2 linked regions of the Coturnix japonica genome follow. The protein of the gene in region 2 interacts with the protein of the main gene of each other region in a biochemical or structural test. Links are inferred from orthologs where the notes say so. Each region holds a gene or a part of one and is shown on either strand. Other genes may lie near its edges.

Region 1 (5,542 bases), on a different chromosome or scaffold from region 2:
TGGCAGGCACACTGCCAGCACCTCATGAAGAGAAGGGAACATCCCAGGTCCCCCCGGTACCTTCTTCATGGCGGTGGACACAGCTGAGGCACAGAATTCTTCCTGTGTCACCCAGCGGGATGGGGACGAGGCAGCATCCAGGGCTACATCCCCATCCAGGCACAGTGAGTAGACCACATACGTCTGGTGAATGTGTGAGAAGATGTGGACAACCTGCGAGGAGACGAGAGTACAGCAAGATTGGCAGCATGCAGGCAGGGCTTGAGAAGGGTGACATCAGGGAATGGGGACCCTCCCTCTGTGTTGCGTCCCCCATGGTGCGCGGTGCTTGGCCACACACTCACCTCCCCAATGAAGCACAAGCTCTGTGTCTGTACAGGCTGTTTTATCCACGCCTGCAGGTGGTCAGCCAGGAGTTCCTTCTGCTGCTTCTCCTTCAGGCCCGGAGCCAGCGGGAGGCTGGGGAACTCCCAGAGCCCAGCCAGGAGCCCTGTGAGGGTGTGCACAGCCCAGCAGGCTCCTTTCTGCACCCCAGGAGCAAGTGCCATCCCACTACCCCATCTCAGTACCCTTTGGTGCCTGTGCCCTGCTCCCACCTGGCCCTGTACCTGAGCTGGGTCTCTGTACTATGAGGTACTCAGAGGCCCCAAGGTGGCCCCTCCGCTCCAGCACACACGTGGCTGTCTGCTCTGCCCGTGGCTGCTTCTTCGCTGCTTTGCGGGGGAAGTTGGTGACCCCCAGGCTGCTGTCCCATGGCTCGGCAGTGGGGAGGCACAAGGGACAGCCCCCAGTCCCTGCAGACACCAACACAATGGTCACAGCGGGGCCCAGATGCAAAGCTGCCACAGGGACCAACCCGGGTGCTCACCACAGTCCTCAACATCAGGCACCACAGTGGTCTTTCCAAACAGCTTCTGAGAGGCAGAGACCAGCTCCTTCTCCACCTGTGTGGGGCAACAGCATGTCCAACCCCATCTCCACATGCAGTGACCCCCAGGGCTGGCACCAGGTAGGAATGCAGGACTCAGTACTCAGCCAAGTCTTGCTTGATGCTTCAGAGGAGGTTGAGGAACTTTCTATCACCCCCTACAGGGACAGCGAGAGGCCTCTGCCACCCACAGACTGTCAAGGGATGGGTCTGGGGGCCATTCTTACCCTATGCCAGGCATGGCAGTGCTCCTTCACTGGGCACTCCTTACACAGCGGGGATTTGGGTGTGCACACAGTTGCCCCCAGCTCCATCAGAGCTTGGTTGAAGTCCCCCGGGCGGCTCCTATCCACCAGGGTGTTGGCCATGTCCCTGGGAGAGATGGCTGTGAGTGACACGAAGCTCCACATGCAGAGACCCAATGACCTCCACTTGCCTCCTGAGCCCATGACCCCCACGAGCCTCTAACGCTCCTGCTCCAGCCTCCCCCCTTCAGCTCAGCTCCCCGTGGCTTCTAAACGATCCTGCCCTCAGCTACCAACACACAATCACAGCCGCCACCAGCACAGCTCCCCTCACCAGAGGCAGTCGGTAACAGCCGGGCTGCTGCTGTCAGCACCGATGCACCGCAGGCGGCACAGCACACGGATCACGTTCCCATCCACAACACCAGTAGCCTGAAGTGAGAGCAGGGATCAGCAAACTGGGAGGTGCTGGCAAGGGGCAGGAAGGTGGCAGTGACAGGAGTCACATTCCCTCCAGACAGCTCTCACCTGCCCGAATGAGATGGAAGCAATGGCTCCTGCTGTGTATCGACCCACTCCTGGCAGCAGCTTCTGCAGGTCCTCAGCTGTCCTGGGCATCCGGCCGGCCAGCTCCGACACCACCTGCAGACAGGGCAGCCAATGTCAGCTGAGCAGACGCAGATTTACATGTGATAAGGAGGATGCCCAGCCTCCATGGCCCTGTGCAACCAGCTCAGCTCCAGCGAGGCAGAGCAAGTGCGAACCAGCAGCCACCCATGAGGCACAGAGAGCTTAGGAAATGCCTCCAGCACCTTCCTCGCTGCCTCCTGCAGGCGCTTTCCTCGTGAGTAGTAGCCGAGTCCTGCCCACAGCTCATTCACCTCCTGCCCCATGAGACACAGCGTTAGGGAGACACAGGCAGAGCAGTGAGGGCTGAACTCGTCACCACACTGCTCACCTCCAGCGATGCTGCTGCCAGCGCCTGCAGTGTTGGCCACTTCTACAAGAGGGAGGCGACAAGTTCAGGATGAGGACAGCCAAGAGCTGCAGATGGAAGCCTGCCACGGGCAGAGAGTAAAGCCTCCAAAGCAGGAGGGTCGGGGGCACTGCATGAGGAACAGTCACCTGCATCCAGCGGTTGTAGTAGTCGATCACTGTGGCCACTTGTGTCTGCTGCAGCATGACCTCAGACACCCACACTGCCGGGAGCACAGAGGGATCGGTGCAGAGGTGCCAGTGCTGCTTCCCACAGCGTGCACCCCAGTCACCGTGGTGCTGATTCCAAGAACTGCAGCAGCACCCAGCCCAGCAGCCACCCCCATCCCCATCCCCACAGGATCCCCCTCTCAGGCCCAAAGTTGCCTCTCAGATGCCACCAGGGGTCCAAGCAGCTGTTTACAGGAACAGCATTGAAGCCACAGCCTTCACAAGGCTACGCTGCATCCCGTGTCAGGCAGCAATACATGGGATACAGCCACCCCCATTCCTCACCTGCATACGCCCGTCTGTCAGCATCCTGTTCAGCTGCAGCCTGAAAGGGAACGGAGTATGAGAGACAAAGGAGCACAGCGTTCACTGCAAGGAGACCCTCATACAACATAAGATGAGTCAAGCTGTGCTACTCCCGCCTGCCATTACCAGCGTCCTCCAGGGAAGGTCCCGCCGGTTTTTATCGTACCAGGCGAGCAGGCGGTCACGGAGAGCATCGATCTCGACGGGGTCATGGAAGAGATGCAGTGAGTGCGGTGGAGCGGGAGCCCCTGCCGGGAGAAGGGCGCGGGGTGGGCTCAGAGCAGCGCTCTCAGGGCGACCGAGGCCCAGCCCTGCACGCTCCGCGCCCACACGCACCTTCACGGACCGACACACGGTTCCTGTTGCCCTTCTTGCTGCCGTTCCTGCCGTTCTCCCCATTCGGGGTCGCGCTGCCGTTTCCCCGCCGCTCCCGCATCCCCCGCGCGGCCGCCGCCCGCAGGCGGCTCATGGCGGGAACCAACCGCGGGACACACGTGCGCTTTTCCCGGGAAATGTTTCCCCTCCGGCGCCACGCCCCTTCTCGGGGACGAATCAGAGCGGGCGGCGCGGACCCGCCTTCCAGGCCTGAGCCAATCACAGAGCGGCATGACGGGAGCGGGTTCGCCCCTCCCTTCAGTTGAGCGGCTCCCCCGCCTCTTTTCCCGCCGGTCACAGCGGCAGCCCCAGAAGGACCCGCGGGGCCGCCCCGATAAACGCCGGTTCGGTTCGGATTGGAAATATCACCGGAAATCGGGATTCGAACGGCGAGAACGGAACGGAGCGGGCAGGGGCTCCGCGGGGCAGCGGGGCGGGGCTCGGGGCCGGGCGGGGCGCGAGGTGGGAACGGGCGGGTGCGGGGCGGCCCCGGGCGGGAAGGGCCCGGTGCGTGGCGGGGAACGGGCGGTGATGGCGCGGGGCAGAGTGCCGGTAGTGGATGTACAGAGCGACAACTTCACCGAGCTGTGGCCCTGCATGGTGCTGGCACTGCGCAGCGCCACCTTCATCGCGGTGGACACGGTGAGATGGGCGGGGGGGGCGGTACGCGGCCGGGCCGTGCCGTGCAGTGCTGTGCCATGCCGTGCAGTGCTGTGCAGTGCCATGCTGTGCCGTGCCGGGCCGTGCCGTGCCGTGCTGTGCAGTGCCATGCTGTGCCGTGCCGTGCCGTGCTGTGCAGTGCCGCTGAGCGCCGTTTTCCCGCAGGAGCTGAGCGGTCTGGGGAACAGGAAGGCGCTGCTGAGCCCGTGAGTGACCGTGGGGTCGGGTCCCCGCCCTCCGGCTGTTGTTGCGGTCCCGCGGCTCCTCAGCGGCCGTATCTCCGGCTGTATCTCCGGCAGGTGCATCGATGAGCGCTACAAAGCCGTCTGCAGCGCCGCACGGACGCGCTCGGTGCTGTCCCTCGGCGTCGCGTGCTTCAAACAGCTCCCGGAGAAGGTAACGGCAGCTCCCGGGCACGCGGGTGGGAGGCGGGGCTGGGCCCGGTCCGTCACCCCCCGCTCTGAGTCCCGGTTCTGATCTCATCCCGCAGTCTGAGAACACGTTCCTCTGCCAGATCTACAACCTGACGCTGCTCTGCACGGAGGATTACGTCGTCGAGCCGCAGTCGGTGCAGTTCCTGGTGCAGCACGGCTTTGACTTCAATAAGCAGTACTCACAGGGCATCCCCTACCACAAGGGCAACGATAAGGTACAGAATCATGGGCTGATGCCCTCGCTCAGCTCAGCTTGCTCTGCTGTGAGCTGCGCTCCCAGCTGAGTGCAGCACAGCCCTTTCTCCTCCCTGTTGTTCATCCCTTGTTGTAGCTGCTTCTCCAGCTACGTGGGTATCTCCATTGTCAGAACACAGCGTGGCTCTACATGGAGTTCTGCTGTAACATGCTCTGAGTTGCCATTGCACCAGATGTCTTCAGTGTGTTAAGACTTGTTGACTAATTCTTCTTCTTTTAGGGCAATGAGAGCCAGATCCAGAGTGTCCGGACTTTTTTCCTGGAACTCATTCGAGCAAAGAAACCTCTCGTCCTCCATAACGGCCTGATTGACCTTGTCTTCTTGTACCAGTGCTTCTATGCTCACCTCCCAGACAGCCTTGGCACCTTCACCTCTGATCTCTCAGAAATGTTCCCAGCAGGAATATATGACACTAAATACGCTTCAGAGTTTGAGACCCGCTTTGTTGCATCCTACTTGGAATACGCTTACAAGAAGTGGTGAGTGGCACGCTGCTATTTAATGCTCTGGGACAAAAAGACATGGGATTCAGTTTGGTTTCTTTTTCCAGACACCAACATTTAAATCGGCATAGAAACAACTTCTCATTAAAGTTCTATTCCCTGGACTGTCTTTGCAGCAGGCTGTTAAGCTGGAGCTCAAGGACAAGAAATGAGGGAAGCGGAGAGTTGGCTCAAAGCAGTGTGTTTGTAGCAGCTCTGTGCTGGGTGCTTTAGGCAAATTAACCACAGTAACTGCGTCCTCTTGTGTGTTGCAGCAAGAGAGAGAACAGCAAGCTGCAGGACGCCAGCAGCCAGCACATCTCTGTGGAGTTCTGCAACTACTCTGCCAACATGTCACGTTACATCGACTATCGCCACTGCTCTCTGGAAGAAGCAAACTACAGCGAGGGAGAGGCAAATAAGGTGCCCGTGTGTGAGAAATTCTCGGTAAGTAACGTGAGTCCCTGCTTCCTACCTGGCCATGTAGAGAAAGCCACGTGTGGCCAGAGCAGGAAGTAGAAGGAAAGCACCTGGGAGGTTCCATCTGTTTGCTTCACAATACAGGGAAGAATTTCAAGCTTCAGATGGTTTTGAAAGTGAAAAGGCAACAATGTGCTCTGTTCTGAGGGAGCACATTTCACAGTTTAATT
Region 2 (5,264 bases):
CCCCATAGACACCACATAGAGCCCCATATTCCCCCATAGACACCCCATAGAGCCCCATAGACACCCCATAGCGCCCCATATCCCCCCATAGAACCCCACAGACATCACATAGAGCCCCATAGGGCCCCATAGACACCCCATATGTCCCCATAGAAACCCCATATCCCCCAATAGACATCCTATAGACACCCCATTGATCCCTATAGAGCCCCATAGAAAACCCATATCCCCCCAGAGCCCTATAGACACCTAATTGAAACCCCATATCCCCCATAGAGCCCCACATCCCCCCATAGAGCCCCATAGAAACCCCATAGAGCCCCACAGATCCCCATACACAACCCATATCCCCCCATAGTGCCCCATAGACACGCCATATCCCCCCATAGATCGCCATAGAGCCCCATAGACACCCCATAGAGCCCATAGAGCCCCATATCCCCCCATAGAGTCCCATAGAAACCCCATATGTCCCCATAGAGTCCCATAGAAACCCCATAGAGCCCCATATCCCCCTACATCCCCCCATAAAGCCCCATAGACACCCCATATGTCCCCACAGAGTCCCATAGAAACCCCATAGAGCCCCATATCCCCCTACATCCCCCCATAGAGCCCCATAGACACCCCATATGTCCCCATAGAGTCCCATAGAAACCCCATATGACCCCATATCCCCCATAAAGCCCCATAGAGCCCCATAGACACCCCATATGCCCCCATAGAGTCCCATAGAAACCCCATAGAACCCCATATCCCCCTACATCCCCGATAGAGCCCCATAGACACCCCATATGTCCCCATAGAGTCCCATAGAAACCCCATATGCCCCCATATCCCCCATAAAGCCCCATAGACACCCCATAGAGCCCCATAGACACCCCATATCCCTCCATAGATCGCCATAGGAACCCCATATGTCCCCATATCCCCCCATAGACCCCATAGAACCCCATATCCCCCCATATCCCACCATAGAGCCCCACAGACACCCCATATGTCCCCATAGAAACCCCATATGTCCCCATAGCTCCCCATAGAAACTCCAATGCCCCCATATCCCCCATAAAGCCCCATAGACCCCCCATATCCCCCATACCCCCCCGTTACCTTGTCCGCCATCTTGCTGGTTCCTGCCCCGTTTCGGCATCCCGCTCCACCTCGTGTCTCCGAAAGCCGGAAGTGCCTTCGAGGAACGGAAGTGACGTCGCAAGGACGAGAAGCGGAAGTGACGTCACGGCGAAGAGGCGGGAGGAGAGAAAAACTACAACATGGCGGCGGAGATGGGGCGGAAGCGGAAGTGACGTCACTGGGAGAGGAAGGACATGGAGTACGGGAGGAAAACTACAACATGGCGGCGGGGATGGGGCGGAAGCGGAAGTGACGTCACTGCGAGAAGCGGGGTCTGGAGTTCGGGAGGAAAACTACAACATGGCGGCGGGGATATGGCGGAAGCGGAAGTGACGTCGGCGCCAACCGGAAGTTGGGATAGAAAGAGGATAAAGTACAAAATAGCGGTGAGGGAAAGGACAAGCAGACCGGAAGTGACGTCACAAGGTAAAAGACCGGAAGTAGAGCATAGAGACACCGCGATACCGGAAGTGAGGTATAGGCTGACCGGAAGTTGTCCGCAAAAGGCGGAAAAGAACCGGAAGTAGGGCATGAAGACACTTGGATACCGGAAGTGACGTTCAAGCTGAGCGGAAGTGATTCCCGAAACCCGGAAGCTGGTTACCGGAAGTGAAGGGAGCAGGAAGAAACCGGAAGTTGGACTCACAGCCGGAAAGTAACGTCGATACCGGAAGTAGAAGAGCATGGAAACACCGGAAGCGGAGCAGAGCTCGGACCGGTCTGTGCCCTTGTGTTGTTCGCTCCGAAAACCGGAACCGGAAATCAAGGTCTTAAGAACACCGGAAGTCGCACAGTGTCACGTGTTAATGACGGGTACCGGAAGTGGCCGCGATGAGAGCCAGAAGCCATCGCATTGGCGGACCGGAAGTGGGGCTGCGGCAAAGCGGAAGTGAGTGCGAGCACAACCGGAAGTGGGGCTGCGGCAAAGCGGAAGTGACGCAACGTCATTGGCGCTGCGGTAAACCGGAAGTGGCTCGTGAAGCTACCGGAAGTCTCCCCTAGGAACAAACGCAACTCATTGGTTCCAACCCGGATGTGGGTGGGAGGGGCTGAAAGCGGAAGTCCCACCCACCGGAACCGGAAGTGAGCCCGTACAGTCGACTAGACGGGGTCAGCTCATTGCTTTAGAACCCGGATGTTGGTAGGAGGGGCTAAAGGCGGAAGTCCCTCCCACCGGAACCGGAAATGAGACCACACAGTCGACTTGGAGGCCTCCGCTCATTGCTTTAGAACCCGGACGTGAGTGGGAGGTGCTAAAAGCGGAAGTCCCTCCCACCGGAACCGGAAGTGAGCCTGTAAATCTTCCCAGATGCCCGTAGCTCGTTGGTTTCTAACCCGGATGTGGGTAGCGGGGACTAAAAGCGGAAGTCCTTCCCACCGGAACCGGAAGTAAGCCCGTAAAGTCGACTAGGAGGCCTGAGCTCATTGCTTCAGAACCCGGATGTGAGTGGGAGGGGCTAAAAGCGGAAGTCCCACCCACCGGAACCGGAAACGAGCCCTTAAATCCTCCTAGACTCCTGCAGCTCATTGCTTTAGAACCCGGATGTTGGTAGGAGGGGCTAAAAGCGGAAGTCCCTACCACCGGAACCGGAAATGGGGTCTTAGAGCCGACTAGGAGGCCTCAGCTCGTTCCTTTAGAACCCGGATGTTGGTAGGAGGGGCTAAAAGCGGAAGTTTCTCCCACCGGAACCGGAAGTGAACCCGTAAAGTCGACTAGACGGGTTCAGCTCATTGCTTTACTACCCGGATGTGGATGGGAGGGGCTAAAAGCGGAAGTCCCTCCCACCGGAACCGGAAATAGGGCCTTAAAGAAGCCGTCCGCCATGCCGACCGTGTTGGGCCTGGAGGGTTCGGCCAATAAAGTGGGAGCCGGGATCGTTCGGGACGGGGAAGTGCTGAGTAACCGCAGGGCGACCTACGTGACACCGCCGGGACACGGTAAGGACACACCGGAACTTCCCTTTTCACTTCCGCTTCCGGTTGATTGAAGCGTCTCCCATCTCCTTTCGTACTTCCGCTTCCGGTTGATTTCGAGCTCAACTTCCGCTTCCGGTTGCTGGAGAACCCCCTCTCCCTTTCTACTTCCACTTCCTGTTGGTGGAGGACCCCTCCCTCCTTTCTACTTCCGCTTCCCGTTGTTGGAGAACCTCCCTTCTACTTCCGCTTCCGGTTGATGGGTGACCACCCCCTTCCTTCCACTTCCGGTTAATGGAGGACACTCCCTCCCCTCCCCCCCCCCTTTTCCTTTTTCCACTTCCGGTTTTTCGGAGACCCCCACCCCCCACTTCCGGTTGATGAATACAACCCCCCCACCACACACTTCCGGTTTCGGTTTCCCCTGTTTCCATTTCCTGTTATGGAGACCCCACTTCCTGTTTATGGGGACCCCCACACTTCCACTTCCTGTCCCCCACTTCCACTTCCTGTCCCCCTTCCTCCACTTCCTGTCCCCCCCCACTTCCACTTCCTGTTAATGGATATCCACTTCCTGTTAATGGCGGCCCCCCCCCACTTCCTGTTTCTTCGGGGGTCACTTCCTGTCACGTGACCGTTTCCTTCCGGGTTCAGGTTTCGCTCCCGGCCCTGTGAGCCGCCATCACCGCGCCGCCATCTTGGGGCTGATCGAGGAGGCGCTGAGGGACGCTGGGATGGGACCGAAGGACATCGATGGGGTCGCGTTCACTAAAGGTGGGGACACATAGGGACACATAGGGACACATAGGGACCCATAGAGACCCATAGGGATCCATAGGGACCCATAGAGACACATAGGGACCCATAGGGACCCATAGAGACACATAGGGACCCCATTGAGATACATTGGGACACATAGGGACACATAGAGACCCATAGGGACCCATAGGGACCCATAGAGACACATAGGGACACATAGGGACACATAGAGACCCATAGGGACCCATAGTGACCCATAGAGACCCCATAGAGACCCATAGAGACCCATAGGGGGACATTGGGACCCATAGGGACCCATAGAGACACGTAGGGACCCATAGAGACCCATAGGGACCCATAGAGACCCATAGAGACCCATAGAGACCCATAGGGACACATAGAGACCCCATAGAGACCTCATAGAGCCCCATAGAGACCCCATAGAGACCCATAGAGCCCCATAGAGCCCCATAGAGACCCCATAGAGCCCCATAAACCCCCATAGAGCCCCATAGGGACCCCATCGACCCCATAGGTCCCCATAGAGCCTCATAGAGCCCCCATAGAGACCAATAGAGACCCATAGGAACCCTTTAGACGTTCATAGTGCCCCATAGCCCCCCATAGAGCCCCATAGGGACTGCATAGCCTCCTATATGTCCCCATAAAGCCCCATACAGACCCCATAGGCCCCCATAGAGATCCCATAGACCCAATAAATCCCCATAAAGCCCCATAGAGACCCATAGACACCCCATAGAGCCCCATAGAGACCCCATAGACCCCCATAGAGACCCCATAGGTCCCCATAGGGACCCCATAGACCCCCATAAACCCCATAGAGCCCCATAGAGACTCCATAGACCTCATAGCCCCCATAGAGCCCCATAGACCGCATAAAGACCCCATAGAGCCCCATAGGGAACCCATAGACCCTAATAGGTCCCCATAAAGCCCCATAGAGCCCCCTAGTCCCCCATAAAACCCCATAGTCCCCCATAGAGACCCCATTGAGACCCCTTAGAGCCCCATAGAGCCCTATGGATCCCCCATAAACCACATTAAGTCTCCCCCCCACTTATAGGGCCGGGGATGGGCGCCCCATTGGTGGCGGTGGTGCAGACACTGTCCCATAGAGCCCCATAGAGACCCCATAGACCCACACAGAGCCCCATAGAGACCCCATAGAGCCCCATAAACCCCCATAGAGACGCCATAGGTCCCCACTGTCTCCCATAGAGACCCCATAGAGCCCCATAGGGACCCCATAGACCCTCATAGGTCCCCATAAAGCCCCATAGAGACCCCACAGGCCCCCCTAGTCTCCCATAGTGCCCCATAGAGACCCCATAGAGCCCCATAGACACCCCATAGAGCCCCATAGAGACCCCATAGAGCCCCATATGGACCCCATAGGTCCCCATAGACACCCAATAGACCCCATAACATCTCCCCCCACT

The links.
Region 1: the proteins of APEX1 (region 2) and MUTYH form a complex in vitro, tested with the Homo sapiens proteins (3 studies listed by BioGRID and IntAct, with this or other methods). The link is inferred for Coturnix japonica from reciprocal best matches to the Homo sapiens genes APEX1 and MUTYH.

The regions. Positions count from the first base shown.
Region 1 is NC_029523.1:18,649,360-18,654,901, forward strand, and holds the start of MUTYH (adenine DNA glycosylase), read right to left. Parts: upstream 3,499-5,542; 5' UTR 3,155-3,498; coding exon 3,022-3,154; intron 2,934-3,021; coding exon 2,812-2,933; intron 2,705-2,811; coding exon 2,665-2,704; intron 2,413-2,664; coding exon of another isoform or gene 2,373-2,412; coding exon 2,299-2,372; intron 2,174-2,298; coding exon 2,132-2,173; intron 2,058-2,131; coding exon 1,986-2,057; intron 1,816-1,985; coding exon 1,702-1,815; intron 1,606-1,701; coding exon 1,508-1,605; intron 1,301-1,507; coding exon 1,156-1,300; intron 945-1,155; coding exon 869-944; intron 795-868; coding exon 597-794; intron 491-596; coding exon 345-490; intron 214-344; coding exon 61-213; intron 1-60. Other genes in the region: TOE1 (target of EGR1 protein 1), read left to right, coding at 3,592-3,702, 3,886-3,926, 4,020-4,116, 4,211-4,369, 4,630-4,889, 5,168-5,339. UniProt on the Homo sapiens protein: Involved in oxidative DNA damage repair. Initiates repair of A*oxoG to C*G by removing the inappropriately paired adenine base from the DNA backbone. Possesses both adenine and 2-OH-A DNA glycosylase activities.
Region 2 is NW_015439873.1:109,036-114,299, forward strand, and holds the start of APEX1 (DNA-(apurinic or apyrimidinic site) lyase), read right to left. Parts: upstream 2,957-5,264; coding exon 2,918-2,956; exon of another isoform or gene 2,254-2,917; intron 1,901-2,253; coding exon 1,778-1,900; intron 1,187-1,777; coding exon 1,111-1,186; intron 1-1,110.